2 linked regions of the Lytechinus pictus genome follow. Each later gene encodes a partner of the first gene's protein in a complex. Links are inferred from orthologs where the notes say so. Each region holds a gene or a part of one and is shown in the gene's direction. Other genes may lie near its edges.

Region 1 (8,882 bases):
ATGAATCTTTCACTGTACGATCATTTAACTTGCGATAATCTATGCATAGCCTCAAACTACCATCCTTCTTTCTAACCAATACGATAGGGCTGGCAAAGCTACTCTTTGAATGACGTATAATCTTCTGGTCTACCATCTCTTGTAGCATCTCTTTCACTTCTTTTACTTGCAAAGGGTGAATTCTCCTGTATGGTAACCTAATATCTGGACCTTCAGTCAATCGGATCTCATGTGGAATGAGGTCACATACACCTACATCATATGTTCCCTTAGAGAATACATTCTTGTGCTTATGCAGTAAGCTAGCTACAGCTGCCTCTTCAACTGGGTCTAGGCCTTTTATCTCTACGCCTGGAGGTAGGGTGTCTTCAATTACGGTATAAATTCGAACAGAACCAATGTGAACATCAGTTTCTTGCTCTTGGTTACGGGATTCTTTCTTCAACTTATCATACAGTGGCTTGTATTCTGCTATGTGTTGCAATATGTTGGAGCCAAGAAGGATTGGGTACCTCATATGTTCCACAGTAGGTGCTCGATCTGACACTACCAGAAAATTACCCATCAATTCTTCTCCTTTTACCTTGATTGGTAACCCAACATAACCAACAATAGGCAACTCTACCCCTCCAACTCCAATCACGTGCAGAAAGATTCCTTCGCTCTTCTGAAGCTCTCCAATACGACACTTCAGCTTGCTCTCATACAAGGACAAAGGTATGATAGATGCTTCGGCTCCTGTATCAACTACACAGCCAATCTCTACTCCTCCAATGAGAATGTTACAGCATGGACTTTTAGCAACAAATCTCTCAACAAGGTTTGATTTAGCTTTCTCTTTAGACTCTGCTGGTCCCACAGTCCCTAAATTGGCAGTTGGTACATAATGCGATGTAGGACTGGCACTAGTTTCAGACGTAGGATGATTGCTAACTGTGCTCTTCTTCGGACACTCTCTACCCATGTGACCAGTCTGATGACAGTTAAAACAGACCACTTCTTCTGTACAGTCTTTCTTTGTGTGTCCTTCTCTAAGACAGTTGTAACACTTGAGTTTCTTCTTGATCTTCTTAGGAGTTTGAGTATACTGAGTAAGAGCCTGAACACTCTTGGCAATCTGAGCTACTTCTCTTCTTAGATCTGCCAATTCAGCTTTGACATCCGACTGTTCCTGTTCTTTCTCTTGCTTGGGAAAACTAGAACACATGTCAGCACGCTCAGCATACACTTCATGAACTCGTGGTGAACTTCTTGGTTCTTGACCAGAGAAAAATTCAAGCACTTCAGATCTCATCTCAAGAAAGTTCTTACTCTTTGAAGACATTTCAATTCGTCTTAACTCTCGTTGTACCCACTTCTCTTTAGCTCCACAAACGAAACGTTCTTTCAGCGAGCTATCTTTGAGCCTCTTCAAAGCATTCTTATCTTCTGTACTGGAAGCAGCTTTCTCCATGCGATCGTACAACCTCATCAAGGCCCGGCTGTAGTCGGCCAAACTCTCGCCCTCTTGTTGTCGTCTATTGTAGAAGGATTGACTTAGTGAAGGTACCGACTCTGACGCTGCAAAGAGTGACTGTAAAACGTTGATAATTTGATCACTATCCTTTCGCACATCCTCATCTCGGCATAGAACCTCTTCTTTGGCAACTCCAGCCAAATGATCGACAAGCGACTGTGCTTTTGCCTCTCCAGACAACTGATAGTGAGTAGTATAACTGGAAAACTCTTCAAGCCACTCTTCCAGAGATAAGTCTCCAGCGACTTTAGGTGGACCCTTAAATTTAGACAATTTCACTGGTGGGGGAGCACGTTGAATATTCAAGCCTTGCAGTGCCCGGGTAAGGACTGACACCATTTCCTCTACAGACTGTGACATCGTTACAAGGGCTATATAATTCTACAAAGGGGAGAGAAGGTCTATGCACATGTATAAAGTGGTGTAAATCAATGAACAATCAAAAATTAACTCTACTCATAGTTATCTGAGATTACCTAAACCACCTTTAACTCATTACCAAATGTTCATGTGTTGACCATTCCCTCTCCGAAGTAAGAACGTTAAAGTCTCTTGGATGTGTAGAACTTCACTGCCATCATCCTAGTTGGTCGCTGACCTCTGGACGATAGACCTCAATCGCTGACTTTGGGGTTGATCGCTGACATCGGAACACAGCCATGATCTGATGATCCCATCCTCGTCGCCATTTTGTCGGGGGGTGGGTTGAGTTAGCCAATTAAGACCGTAACGGAGCAAACTTTACAGATGCTACGGGACACCAGATCTGAGCTTCTTTGACTTTATTGAGGTTTGCCAAAACCAACAAAATGAAAGGAGTAACAAAACAACAACCCCAAAATCAGAGGCTACTGGTGGTTACACACCACCTACATCACCCAGGATACCACAAAGGAGTAGCAGCTTCTACCATTATTCGAAATCTCAAGACTCGAGGAGGATCAAATGAGTCGGACCAGATCAGCCCTTTCCCAGGCCTGCTTCGATTGCAGTCCGACCTGCACCAGAACCAGGACGTGCAATAATCTACCTAACGTAAAATGCCAACAAGCAGTGGAGTCGCGGAACCACCCAAAAAAATATCATTCTGCTAAGGATTTGTTAAACTTTGAAACAGCCAATATGAAAAAGATACAAGTATATATATTGTTTTCACTCAATATTACGAGAAAACAAATCCTTAAAACCCTTAAAATACATAACAAGGATTAGAAAATAACTAGAATTATATTTTTGGAGCGTACATACATCGATCATCCTAACCCTATCCAGTGATCCGGCCGATCAAGAGAATTCCAAACACCTGTACGAAAATAATATGCAAATTAGGAACATTCTTCTCAAGCAACCAAATGAAAATTCCACTTTCCGACATAATTATGAGGGGAGCAATAAAAAGCTCTCCCTGTAGAACTTTTAAGGAGAGCGGTAGAGGAGCACTGCAAAAAGCTCTTCTTCAACATACAAGGGGAGCTTTTTGTCCAATTAACAAAACGGATGGAGGAAATATAGGCCTATGTACTAAGTTACAATTAACAACCAAAGGAAGGAAACAATCGAATATGCAATATTCATAATTGTTTTACAATGTTTTGTAATTAGATTGTGTGTTATAAAACCTGTTTGAGTGAGGTTTTGAGTGACTTTTGACTATGGCTAAAAGTTAAGTCACTGACAAATTTTTCGTCAAATTTCGGGGGCTACTTTTTGCATTTCGGGGGCTCTTTTTAAATGCAACTTTTTTGTATTTTGAGGAATACCTGTTCACTTATTAATGAATTATTACTTTTTGTTTAATATTGTATGATTTTTTAAGTTATTTTTTCATGATGCTTAGAATCTTGGATGTGGATGTGTGCGTGTGTGTGTGACTGTGAGTTGGACTTGGATATAAATGAATTCAATATTTAATTTCTACTCCGTCTATTCCAGTACAATACCCTGTACTCGGCCATGTACATGTAATATAGAGGCCCACATACCCTAACTTTTCCTGAAGTTCTTTGAAAATGCAGATCTCCATGAAAATTGCATTTCTCTATGGGGGAGTCTAAATTTGGTGAGAATGTATTCATTAAGATCTTAAATATACATGACAATTAAGAAATCAAACTTTATTGGCAGTTTTGAATAATGTACCTGAAATGTAAACTCTGTCTGAAACAGAAAATCACCATCATTGAGGCCTTTACTGAGCGAATTGTACCCCAGAGCTCTGGCAGAGAGACAGAGCTCCGACTGGCTAGTGTAGTAGTACATGCACCAATGCGTTCGTGCGTGAGCCTGCCGCCGGCCTTGTTAAAAATAGATAGAGCTTTGTTTGATGATTTATTGTCTGATATTTACCTCATCCCCTAGAAAAAGAAAACAAATGATTTTTTAGTTATAATTAATAAATAAGGTAACTTATTTTGGATGTTAATAGGCCGTTTTGAAAAGCAAAGCCGAATGACAACTCACCAATGCTAGGTTACTAGACTCTGGGATTTATTTCCTGTGTAATTCGAATTATTTTATCACAGAATTATCTGTAGGGGAAACATGTGCATTCGAAATTGCACATGGTGGTAGTCATAATGGACCCATATACAGGCAACTGTTTCCCGACCGTTGCGTAGATTTTTTTGGTCATACCTGGTTCCATGTGTATGGAAATACATGGTACAGAAAAAAAGACGCAACTTCAGAATTTTTTTATTTATTTTTTATTTTTTTCATTCTTCATAAAAACAAATACACTGTATAAAAGTCAATACATATAAGTAAAAAACAATGATGAACATATAGAAAAAATAACATAAGAGAACAAAGAAAACAATTTATGTCGAATTGAAACTGCGCTCGCTATTTTCAAGGCTTATTCATGATTTTGAGTGTGGATTTTGGATGATTTTTAAATGGTAAGCGGAGCTCGAGCATATGGCGCTAGTGGGCCGTTTAGTTGTTATCACTCGGCAATAATTTCGGGGGCGACATTCAGATTTGATGTCCCCGAAAGCATGATTTTAGGTGATTTTGAGGGCGACTTCAGGCATTTTCGCTTAGCGATCGCGAGGCGCGCTATTAATCGCGCTACCTAAAATGGATTAAGGCGCGCATGTAGCGCACGATCGCTCTCGCGCGCCTTAAAATTGAGTCCCTGAAAAAATAATATGTATGTCTGAAGAATACTATTACATGCCTTTATGAAATAATTTTTTTGAGTGTCTTTTTGAAAAAGTGACATTTACGTCACTTTATGTATTGAAGAAAATGCAGGTGTCAAATAACCTACCATAATTACATTTTTTAAAGTGGCAGATACAAAGTCAGCTCTGCTTTTTACAACTTAAAAAGATTCATAACTTTCTTACTGTTTTCAACTTTCACCCTTTTATTTTAAAATTCCCCATCAAATCAACTTTCCACTTTGGCTGGGACATAATTTGTGTAACTACTTTGGTTGCTTCATAATGAATGATAATGCTTTCATTTATCTAACAAAGAAATAATCTTTGTACTGATAAAGATGAGTACTGATTCTGTTTGTCAACTCAGAGTTCATTGATGTCGGCAAGAAGCAGCCAGCCTTGGATGCCCTCTATGATGTCATCAAGAGTAAGCGACATCGAACATGGCAGAAGATACACGAACCAATCATGGAGAAGTATCTGGAGCTCTGCGTTGACCTACGTAAGAGCCACATTGCCAAAGAGGGCCTCTACCAGTACAAGATCATTTGTCAACAGGTAGGCATACTTTTGTGGCAGAAATGCTTTGGGGGCTCCTGAATGTGTTGTAGATGTTCTTGACGGTTCCATGACATTTGCTCTGCTCTAAATTCCACGCACTAATCAAATGACCAACTTCAACCCTTGGTTTAACACTATACATGTGCCCTACCCTAAACCTCACATAAAACCCTATTGTAACCCTAACCCTACATCTTAGATGAAATTAAGCCTGGAACAATTGTCGCCAGACCAAATGTTGTGCCACCGCTCTTGACACCATTTTCACTGATTTTTCTTTGATAATAGAACGTCAAAACACCAATCTAAAGTTCGTAAATAAATATTCAAGTTTTGATTTTGGGTACTGCTAGTACATTGTAGAAATAAGAAAAACACTGATCAGCTATTGTTTATTAACTTTTGTTCACATTATGTGGCAAATTTGTGAACTAATCTGACACCAATTGCTCAAGCTGAAGTGAATGATAAGAAATTGTTTCTTTCTTAGATATTTCCTTTTTTTTTTTCATGTGTAATCAAGAAATTTCATAGGTGAGGGAGCATTTCATCAACCCTTGTTGTCCAATAAGTTGTCAGATCTGACGTCTTTCCTTGAATTTGATTAGCTGAGAAGCACTGTTACTATGGTTTTTGTCATTTAAAACAGGACTTATTGGATAAAATATATGACAAGTCCTCTTGTGAAATGCTCTGTTGATTTTAACTCCTTGTTATGTTCTTGCTGTTAGGTGAATGTCAAGTCTTTGGAAGATGTCGTGAGGAAATACTTGAAGCTTGCTGAAGTCAAGACGGAGGAGGCTAGGAAGGCTTCTGAGGCTGTTGTTGGGGTCGATGTTGACGATCTTGATAATCTTACCACCCCAGAAAGGTAAGAAGAGAATTTTTAAAGAATTGTTGTTTCTTACCTTCAGTGTTGGGAAAAGTTTAACTGTTGAAGTTCAGGATTTGACAGTTGACCCATAGCATAAATAATTTATTCAATTCCAAATAAAGCATAAGTCTCGAGATCAGAATCACTTCCTTTGATTAAACACAAAGGTGTAGTTCATTTGCATTTAATTCCAACTTTATATGATAAGCATGCCCGATTTGACTTGATTTTGGGACTAACGCTCGATTTGCAGTTGAATGTAAGATCCTTGCAATGCTCCATTAGTAAGTGTCAACTGATGTTATAGGCATCCCACCAGTGGGTCCTATTATTGACTTGTTCTCCCACTGTTTTTGTCTTCCTGCAGTCTTCTCCTAAGTGCTGTAAGTGGAGAGGATGCCCAGGCCAGGAGTGACCGTGTGGTGTTGATACCATGGGTCAAGTTTCTCTGGGAGTCTTACAGACAGTGCTTGGACCTGCTGAGGAACAACAACAGACTGGAGAAGCTCTACCAGGACGTGGCCCAGGATGGTAGGTCCAGGATCAGGGTCAGAGATGGCACCATGATTCCAAAAATGTGGAATGCTACAGTCACACCAATGAAACCGACTCCAGACCGTTAAAAGCTGTTTTGAATTGCACGTCATGACGCCAGACCGTTAAAAGCTGTTTTGAATTGCACGTCATGACGCCAGACCGTTAAAAGCTGTTTTGAATTGCACGTCATGACGCCAGACCGTTAAAAGCTGTTTTGAATTGCACGTCATGACGCCAGACCGTTAAAAGCTGTTTTGAATTGCACGTCATGACGCCAGACCGTTAAAAGCTGTTTTGAATTGCACGTCATGACTCCAGACCGTTCAAAGCTGTTTTGAATTGCACGTCATGACGCCAGACCGTTAAAAGCTGTTTTGAATTGCACGTCATGACGCCAGACCGTTAAAAGCTGTTTTGAATTGCACGTCATGACGCCAGACCGTTAAAAGCTGTTTTGAATTGCACGTCATGACGCCAGACCGTTAAAAGCTGTTTTGAATTGCACGTCATGACGCCAGACCGTTAAAAGCTGTTTTGAATTGCACGTCATGACGCCAGACCGTTAAAAGCTGTTTTGAATTGCACGTCATGACGCCAGACCGTTAAAAGCTGTTTTGAATTGCACGTCATGACGCCAGACCGTTAAAAGCTGTTTTGAATTGCACGTCATGACGCCAGACCGTTAAAAGCTGTTTTGAATTGCACGTCATGACGCCAGACCGTTAAAAGCTGTTTTGAATTGCACGTCATGACGCCAGACCGTTAAAAGCTGTTTTGAATTGCACGTCATGACGCCAGACCGTTCAAAGCTGTTTTGAATTGCACGTCATGACGCCAGACCGTTAAAAGCTGTTTTGAATTGCACGTCATGACGCCAGACCGTTCAAAGCTGTTTTGAATTGCACGTCATGACGCCAGACCGTTAAAAGCTGTTTTGAATTGCACGTCATGACGCCAGACCGTTAAAAGCTGTTTTGAATTGCACGTCATGACGCCAGACCGTTAAAAGCTGTTTTGAATTGCACGTCATGACGCCAGACCGTTAAAAGCTGTTTTGAATTGCACGTCATGACGCCAGACCGTTAAAAGCTGTTTTGAATTGCACGTCATGACGCCAGACCGTTAAAAGCTGTTTTGAATTGCACGTCATGACGCCAGACCGTTAAAAGCTGTTTTGAATTGCACGTCATGACGCCAGACCGTTAAAAGCTGTTTTGAATTGCACGTCATGACGCCAGACCGTTAAAAGCTGTTTTGAATTGCACGTCATGACGCCAGACCGTTAAAAGCTGTTTTGAATTGCACGTCATGACGCCAGACCGTTCAAAGCTGTTTTGAATTGCATGTCATGACGCCAGACCGTTAAAAGCTGTTTTGAATTGCACGTCATGACGCCAGACCGTTAAAAGCTGTTTTGAATTGCACGTCATGACGCCAGACCGTTAAAAGCTGTTTTGAATTGCACGTCATGACGCCAGACCGTTAAAAGCTGTTTTGAATTGCACGTCATGACGCCAGACCGTTAAAAGCTGTTTTGAATTGCACGTCATGACGCCAGACCGTTCAAAGCTGTTTTGAATTGCATGTCATGACGCCAGACCGTTAAAAGCTGTTTTGAATTGCACGTCATGACGCCAGACCGTTAAAAGCTGTTTTGAATTGCACGTCATGACGCCAGACCGTTAAAAGCTGTTTTGAATTGCACGTCATGACGCCAGACCGTTAAAAGCTGTTTTGAATTGCACGTCATGACGCCAGACCGTTAAAAGCTGTTTTGAATTGCATGTCATGACGCCAGACCGTTAAAAGCTGTTTTGAATTGCACGTCATGACGCCAGACCGTTAAAAGCTGTTTTGAATTGCACGTCATGACGCCAGACCGTTAAAAGCTGTTTTGAATTGCATGTCATGACGCCAGACCGTTAAAAGCTGTTTTGAATTGCACGTCATGACGCCAGACCGTTAAAAGCTGTTTTGAATTGCACGTCATGACGCCAGACCGTTAAAAGCTGTTTTGAATTGCATGTCATGACGCCAGACCGTTAAAAGCTGTTTTGAATTGCACGTCATGACGCCAGACCGTTGAAAGCTGTTTTGAATTGCACGTCATGACGCCAGACCGTTAAAAGCTGTTTTGAATTGCACGTCATGACGCCAGACAGTTAAAAGCTGTTTTGAATTGCATGTCATGACGCCAGACCGTTAAAAGCTGTTTTGAATTGCA
Region 2 (9,052 bases), on another chromosome or scaffold:
TCATAATGTCATGAATATATCTGAAGTTTCGCTTAATTTAAGAAAACATGGTTTATGTATATCCTGGTAGGTATGCAAATGAGGCACTCTCTAGCTGTTGGCGTTATTCATATGCAGTATGAAAAATTTCAATTTTCTCCTGATCGTGTTTTTTATTATTTTCTTCTTGAATATATGAAATTGCCTTGTTGATTTCATGAAAAATTCCCTCTCATTAAATCTGCTGAAAAATGTATTATTGTATCAAATGCAAAAAGAATCGTGAATGAATGACATCACCAACTTGCTCATTTGCCAGTATCCCTTTGTTGTGCATATAACTGTTTTTGTACAAAAAAATAAGCGACATTTAGAAATATAACCTTCTTATCCTACATTCGATTTTCAGTGTTCTACATAACACTTGTTTATTAAATCTTTCATTCAAATCAACTTTTTGTTGGGTAAGGGGCGCAAATACAGAAAAAGAAAACAAAAAATGAACAGAAATTGTCAACTTTTTTTGTATAGAGAAAAGTAAAAGTTAAAGGTTAAGTCCAGCTCAGGAAAATGTTGATTTGAATCAATAGAGAAAAATCAGAAATGCATATTGCTGAAAACTTCATCAAAATCGGATGTAAAATAAAAAAGTTATGACATTTTAAAGTTTCGCTTATTTTTCACAAAATAGATCTATGCACAATTAAGTCACATATTGCAAATGAGAAAATCGATGATGTCCGTCACTCACTATTTCTTTTGTTTTTTATTGTTTGAATAGTGCAATATTTCAATTTTTACAGATTTGACAATAAGGACCAACTTGCATGACTGAACCATAAAATTTTAAACAATGGTAATTCCACATGTTCATGGAGAAATAAAATTCTGTTTCACCGGACAATGAGGAGAAAATTAGAATATTTTATATTTCATATAACAAAATACAAAAGAAATAGCGAGTGAGTGATGTCATCACTGAGTTCCCTCATTTGCATACGATGACATGCATACGAACCAGAGGATGTGCATATATAACTGTTTTGTGAAATTAAGTGAAACTTAAAAATGTCATAACTTTCTTATTTTACATCCGATTTTGATGAAATGTTCAGTGTTATGCTTTTTGGATTTTTCTCTTTTTATTCAAATCAACTTTTTGTTGGGGTGCATGGACTTGTCCTGTACGGAATAAAGTCGCCGAAAAGGAAGACCACTGATTAAGGTGATATATACGCCCGTCCTATTACAATGGTAATGCAGTTTCGAACCCATGTGGACCGTATCCGTGCCAATTTTCGATTAGTGATATACTTATTCTTTCCAAGAATTCCAACAAACAGTCCTTAAAATATTTATTTTTTCAAACGCATACCATATGCATGCTTTTTCATCTATATAGCTACGCGGGTTTTGATAATTATGCTACTCTTTATTAATTCTTACAAACAGTTCTAAAAATCCTATTTTTTTCTTGTTTAATCAACAAAGACTTATAATCACGATTTTATTTGATAAGGTATAGATACAAAACTCTCTTCATTAATTTTTACAAACAATCGTCTCTTTTTAGGAGAGGATATACCAACAAAATCAGCTCGCGCTTCGCGCACGCATTACGCCGATGAGATACGTATAGGAAGTTAATGAATTCATAAAATACTCTTTAAAATTGTACCCTTTCAAGTAAGTATCAGCTCATTGCTCGTGCCTGCATTGATTGCTTAGTTATAGATCCGCATCGTGGGACTTACTTCTCCCTAAAATGTCCCGATTTCAGGTCTGAATGATTTTCGGCTCGCGCTTCGAGCTCGCATTAATTTTTTAGAATTAATATTCAGTCTTAAGATCTTAATGTTGAATAAAAAAACAGGTTCGCGCTTCGCCCTCGTATTAGATCGATTTATTTAATGAGATCCCTGCATCAGTGATTCCCTGTAATAATTTAGTATGATAAATGTTCCTTTTTCAGGTCAAAAGATCAATGATTTTCAGCTCGCGCTTCGCGCTCGTATTCATTGTTCAGGTATAGTTAGATACCAATCACAGTTATGATTACAAAAAAACAACAAAGAATATTCCGTATTAACGTCTATTGAAAAATGTTTCCACTCGTATCAATGCGAGGGTCTCCGCGACGGGAAAATGGGAATTTCTATGGTTTTCTGAATTGCTGATGCTCTGGACCGGAAATTTAGGCTGGGGGTCTCAACCACGGCACATATACATGTACGTATCATTCATTTATACTGAGTATATTAGGAAGTTGGTGAAAGTAATTCCCCCCCATTGGCGAATGATCCCCGTATGGAGCTTGCATAATAAATAAAATTATCAAATTAAAAGATATTTTTATTTACAATAATAACTATTAGTTAATAATAATAATAATGATGATAATAAACAATAATAATAATAAAAATAATAATAATGATAATAATAAATCATAATAACATTTAGGGCGCTTTATAGGGCGCTTAATTTGTCTCAAAGTTCACAAGTGGGTGTGCTGACTAATGATAAATATAATCCATTAGAAAAAACTCTATATTTAATTAATTAACCAAACCAAATTTATCGGTGAATTATCGGATGGTCTAATACCACATCATCTACTTATCAGTTCGTCCAACTTCACATAGTCTAAACTCATTTCGTCTACAACCAGTTTGTCTAATATCCAATTCGTCTAATTCCCACTTGGTCTAATATCCTATTCGTCTAATTTCCATTTTGGCTAATAACCAGTTGGGCTAATTTCCACTTGGTCTAATATCCAATTCCTCTAATTCCCACTTGGTCTAATATCCAATTGGTCTAATGAGCAGTTGGGCTAAAATCATTTAGTCTAATTTCCAGTTAGTCTAACACCACTTGGTCTAATTTCCACTTTGGCTAATTTCCACTTGGTCTAATTATCATTTTGTCTAATTGCCACATGGTCTAATGACCGTTTGGTCTAATTTCCACTTGGTCTAATTTCCATTTAGTCTAATTTCCACTTGGTCTAATATCCAATTGGTCTAATGACCACTTGGTCTAATAGCCAAATGGTCTAAAGACCACTTGGTCTAATGACCAGTTCGGCTAATCGTCACTTGGTCTAATTTTCATTTGGTCTAATTCACACTTGGTCTAATGTCTATTTATTCTAATATAGCATCATTCATTATTATTTATTTATCTAGAATTAGCAAATATGGTACGTAATGGATAAATACAATGCATCAGTTAATACATATCGCCAGGATCTGGAGGGGTAGAGCTGGTGGGCGCAAAACCTCACCGTGAAGGACTATCGATGACAAGATAGTCGCTCATCAAACTAATTATTCTAATAAAATAATTCTCATAATTAGGCCTGTATATCGATTATAAGATGATGATAAAAATTATATCATACTCATAATCATTACATCACCGCATGCACATTTACAGAACAATAAGTTGGGGACCTTGTAGCTTATAATGGTCGAATGGCGGGGTTTCATCAGAATAAAATTATTATGAAGAAAGGAACGAAAATATAATGTAATTGATTGTGTGGATACGTATCTGGTAAACATATATATGCCTCTTTTAAATCATTGTTATGCACCATTACGGACGATACTTGAACTTGATGTCCTAGTTATGCAGTTTGGGGGAACCAAAACTTACAAAGTCATTAGATCATGTAATTTTGTTATGAACATTTGTTTAGTTATTTCAATATTTAGTTTGGAGGCAAATAACAGACAAGTTAGATATAGTTTGATAACACTATACAGGTATATTGGGTTAGCTGCGACAACATAACTGCGACCATCTTGGTAGCAGCCACATAATTCTGACGTGTAATAACATAGTATACATGTAGTCTACGCTTGCAGACCTTTATCAGTTATCACCACAACAGTCATTCATCTTATATATCTTCTCATTCTGTTTTTTGTTCTACTTCTTCGCCTCTTCCTTAAATGGATTGGCAAGGTTCCCACCCCATTAGGGAAATCAGGGATTTTTAAAACGTTTTTCCAGTCAGGGATTGCCTCAAATCCGGGAAAAATGTCTCAAATGAGGGCAAAATCAGGGAATTTTGATCGGCCCAAAAGTCGAAAGCATGACAGTCTGTTATATTTTGTTGTATTTTAAAACAACATTCATTGAATGACATGATATGGTGTTGGTTTTTTTTTTAGTGTAGCCTCTTCTACTACAATACAAGTATAGGCCTACTGGTACATTATACATGCATAACTAAAATAAAAATAATACATGTAATTCACTGCAACAACTTCGAAAACATGTGAAACTGGGAATGGGTTTAAATAATTATCAAGGAATTTTTTAACTTCATCAGAGATATCAGGGATTTTTGTTTTCTTGAAAAGTTGGGAACCATGATTGGGTTAAGCCATCGTTTCTATCTACAGTAGATCGTATACATAGAGGTGAATAAATAAAAATAATATTTTTTCACCTCTATATTAGCGTTATTTTACAGAAAAATAGCAAATTTGATTGTTTTTCACCAAAACCTTCAAAAATCCCCTGAAACAGACAAAAAATCCCCAAAGTTTGTATAATCCCCAAATAATTTTTTTCATCCCCACAGGCTTTCGAAAATCCCCATATTTTCAAAATTCAGTTGGAGACGAAATATACGTCACTCTAACTGTACTCCAATATCGAGGGGCGCACATGTGAAGATTCGAAGCCGGCGCGCGGAAAGTAACTTTAAAAATTTCACCAGAAAATTGAAAACAAGTCACCATGCAGACTTTACGAATTAGACCAAATGGCATGTAGACGAAATGAATGTTAGACTATCTGGAAATTAGACCAAGTGGAAATTAGCCGAAGTGGAAATTAGACCAAGTGGAAATTAGCCGAAATGGAAATTAGACCAACTAAACATTAGACCAACTGCACATTAGACCAAATGAATAATGGACCAAGTGAGGATTAGACCAACTGGTATTAGACCAACTAGTATTAGACTAACCGACTATTAGACGAACTGGTATTAGACCAAATGCAATTAGACCAAGTGACAATAAAATACATTAGACCAAATGAAAATTAGACCAAGTGGCTATTAGACCAAGTGGTCATTAGACCAATTGGCTATTAGACCAAGTGGTCACTCATTAGACCAAAAGAGAATTGGACTAAGTGGGTTTAGCCCGAATGTTGTTAGCCCATCTGATGATTAGACCAAGTGATAATAGACCATCCGTCAGTAAAATCTCAGGTTGAAGCCGGGGCTGAAATCCTCTTTAAAAATTATATTTCCCTTTTTTATTCGTTCTTGTGAAGGTAAATATTTATGCCGTTTTCTTCCTTCTTTTTAATCGCACGCTATTAGTCGCCAGTAGCCAGCGCGCAGCTTGTATCGTCTATGTCCGGCGGAGCCGGAGATCTTTGATTGAACGCGCGGGCGCGGCGCTGCGCGCGCACATCCATTGAAGGAATCTGTCAAGATGGCGGAATTCGACCTGACTTCGAAAATCGGACAATATTTGGATAGACATCTTGTTTTTCCGTTGTTAGAGTTTTTGTCAGTACAAGAAGTGAGTATTATGTACAAAGATGGTGTCTCAAACTTATACGGATTGTATAATCGTTGTAATTATCATGAATTTCGTGCCATCTGGTCGCAACTGTGTGCCCCCATGTGGGATTCGACAGTCCGACGTGTTCACTTTTGCGTAGGCAATGGTAGGCCCTGGCTTAGCCTTAGGCTAGATGATATGATAAATCATGATCTCAATTTGAATAGTAACTGCCCAAGATTCAACATGACATGTTAAGCTATTCTGCATGATATTTTTAATCTAAAAAATCTTTTCACAAAATGAAAGAGATCCTTATGTATGACTGTGTATGTTTGTTGAGCATGCAGTGTTTTGAAATGGAGACGAGTCTAGAGAGTAGATAGAGATAAGGTGTCTGAAGTGAAGAGTGAAGACTGAAGGCAGTGAAGCCACACTGAAATGTGTCAGCACAAAACAGGCTAATTTAGGGGAAAATATGGCACATTTTTTCGGGGAAGTTTAGGCTACTAGTACTATAGGCCGGTCAAATTGAAATCCTAAAATTTTTATTTGAACGTCTTCACATTTTTATTTACAATGACATGAAAGAGAAAACAAAATCAAAGCAAACATACCAACTCCCAGTTCCAAAGGTTTCCAAAAAGTGAAGATATTAAGTGTCAAACTATGGCCTTTGTGAGACCAGAAAGGGACAGAGATAACCGATTCAGCCCCCTAACTTCCCCGAAGCTAGTTGTCACGTAAAATGGTCGATGAATAGCTAGTTTCGAACGACCTCCTTAAATTAATATTCAATTTTAAATTTGCCGCTGCAGCCCGGCTCGTAGTCTGTGGTAGCTTGTGCACGAGACGTTATTTACGAAAAATGCATTCTAAAAAGTAAAACTCTCGGCAAAATCGTGATATAGGCCCCGCTCGAGAAAAACTTGTAATCGATTATACTACCTCAATATCTAGGTTGCTAACTTCAGCTCACTATATATACTCGTGATATAGGCCCCGCTGCTGTGTTGAATGGCTTAGAATGTCCGTTTGCGGGGCCTGTTTCACGAGTATAGTACTATAACCGTTATATAGGCCCCGCACTACGGCACTTCAGACACTCCAACACAGTAGCGGGGCCTATATCACGAGTATATATTAAGCTTGCATCCTAAGATAGTCGCGAAACTGGCCCCGTCCAATGCGCTTTTCCCAGCATTCGCACGTGTGTGGGGCTCGGATGACGACTATAGTAGTATACTCGTTATCGAGGCCCCTTACACTGTTATATAATGGAAAATAACGTGGTCGTGGGGCTTGTTTCCCCGGCCGGTGAGAATTATCATGGGCGGCGCTGTAGGGGGAGCCTCCAATTTATTTTCCAAATATACAAGGAAAGAATATCATGAGCGGCGCTGTAAGGGGCGGGGGGCTCCTTATTTTCCAAATAAACAATTAAGGAGAGAATGATTTAATACTTCTTCAGAAATTTATTTGTGGATTTATTTGTATTTATTCATTAATCATTTGATTTATTTGTTTTCATTTTTTTTTTCTTTTGTGATGTAGAGAGTCAGAGGTATCATTCGTTTTTAATTATTTTTATGTGTAAAATTTCATTTATTTATTTCTCAATCTATTAATTAATGTATTTATATTTATTCATTAATCATTTAAGTCATTTGTTTTCTTTCTTTTTTTTGTTATAGAGAGAGTCAGAGTTATTCGTTTTTAATTCTTTTTATTTGTGGAAGCTCATTTAATTTATTTATCAATCTATTTTAATTGATTAATTAATGTATTTATATTGATTAATAAATCTATTTATAGTTATTCATTAATCATTTAATTTATTTGTTTTCAGTTTTTTTTCTTTTGTGACTGGTAGAGAGTCAGAGTATCATTCGTTTTTAATTATTTTCATGTGTGAAATTTCGTTTATTTATTTATCAATCTATTATTTTGATTGATTAATATGTATTTATATTGATAAATAAATGTTGATATTGATAAATATATTGATTAATAAATGTAAAAATGTATAAATGTATTACCCAACAAGGCAACGACAATATTATCATCTCCCATTAACAAGAACTTTATTTGCAAAGAATTCATTTGTCTTTTCCGGGCCCGCCTACTGGAACTCTCTGCCTCAAGATTTTAAAGAATCCCCTAATATAAATATTTTTAAACGCAAACTGAAAAAAATGTTAATTTTGCAATACTCGTTGCAAGCAGATCATGCTGAATAACTGATTTATTTATACTCGGTTTTTGTGTCTATCGTGTATTATATGCGCTCGTATACACTCGTATATACATGTATATTATTTGTTATTACTTTTTTCTTCTTAAAATTGCAACTAGCCAAAGTACCTGCTCCTGTTGCCCGATTTCTTTCTATGTTATGTACACTGCATTTCTCTGTCCCTCCCCTCTTCTCCCCCTCACATTCCCCCTCTCTCCCTAATGCTATAAAACAAAATATTTCTCACATCAGTTTTTTTTCTCGTAAAATGCACCAAAATTGTTTGTATTTATTTTTAAAGTTCTATATATCATTACGACCCAGTGTTTTTTTTTGTAATGAAACTAAGTTTATTTAGGGGCTTGCCTTTTGTACAAGCTTTGCTTTTTTTTGGCAAGACCCTCCGTTTTTACTTTAAAATACAATTGTCATATTAGGTAATTTTATTCATTGAATTGTGCTCCTTAAATCTAAGATTATGTTATATATATTTTATTACGTCTTGCAGTATTTTCCACCTTGTTTTGTTATATTTATCATGCTTATGTTGTGAAACGGAAATCAATAAATCAAATCAAATCAATATTTATATTGATAAATAAATGTATTTATATTGATAAATAAATGTATTTATATTTATTCATTAATCATTTAATTCATTTGTTTTCAGTTTTTTTCTTTTGTGATATAGAGAGTCAGATCGAGTTATCATTCGTTTTTGTCTCACCTGCATAGCAGAGTGAGACTATAGGCGCCGCTTTTCCGACGGCGACGGCGGCGGCGGCGGCGACGGCGGCGGCGGCGTCAACACCAAATCTTAACCTGAGGTTAAGTTTTTGAAATGACAGCATAACTTAGAAAGTATATGGACCTAGTTCATGAAACTTGGCCATAAGGTTAATCAAGTATTACTGAACATCCTGCCTGAGTTTCATGTCACATGACCAAGGTCAAAGGTCATTTAGGGTCAATGAACTTAGACCATGTTGGGGGAATCAACATCAAAATCTTAACCTAAGGTTAAGTTTTTGAAATGTCATCATAACTTAGAAAATATATAGACCTAGTTCATGAAACTTATACATAAGGTTAATCAAGTATCAATGAACATCCTGCTTGAGTTTCACATCACATGACCAAGGTCAAAGGTCATTTAGGGTCAATGAACTTTGGCCGAATTGGGGGTATCTGTTGAATTACCATCATAACTTTGAAAGTTTATGGATCTGATTCATGAAACTTGGACATAATAGTAATCAAGTATTACTGAACATCCTGTGCAAGTTTCAGGTCACATGAT

What was found.
Region 2: eukaryotic translation initiation factor 3 subunit A-like (region 1) and eukaryotic translation initiation factor 3 subunit E-like share a complex: the UniProt entries of both Drosophila melanogaster proteins name them as parts of the eukaryotic translation initiation factor 3 (eIF-3) complex. The link is inferred for Lytechinus pictus from reciprocal best matches to the Drosophila melanogaster genes eIF3a and eIF3e.

What each region holds. Positions count from the first base shown.
Region 1 is NC_087256.1:10,923,011-10,931,892, reverse strand, and holds the start of eukaryotic translation initiation factor 3 subunit A-like, read left to right. Parts: upstream 1-5,052; 5' UTR 5,053-5,154; coding exon 5,155-5,244; intron 5,245-5,978; coding exon 5,979-6,118; intron 6,119-6,488; coding exon 6,489-6,652; intron 6,653-8,882. UniProt on the Drosophila melanogaster protein: RNA-binding component of the eukaryotic translation initiation factor 3 (eIF-3) complex, which is involved in protein synthesis of a specialized repertoire of mRNAs and, together with other initiation factors, stimulates binding of mRNA and methionyl-tRNAi to the 40S ribosome.
Region 2 is NC_087261.1:10,572,760-10,581,811, forward strand, and holds the start of eukaryotic translation initiation factor 3 subunit E-like, read left to right. Parts: upstream 1-5,421; 5' UTR 5,422-5,444; coding exon 5,445-5,534; intron 5,535-9,052. UniProt on the Drosophila melanogaster protein: Component of the eukaryotic translation initiation factor 3 (eIF-3) complex, which is involved in protein synthesis of a specialized repertoire of mRNAs and, together with other initiation factors, stimulates binding of mRNA and methionyl-tRNAi to the 40S ribosome.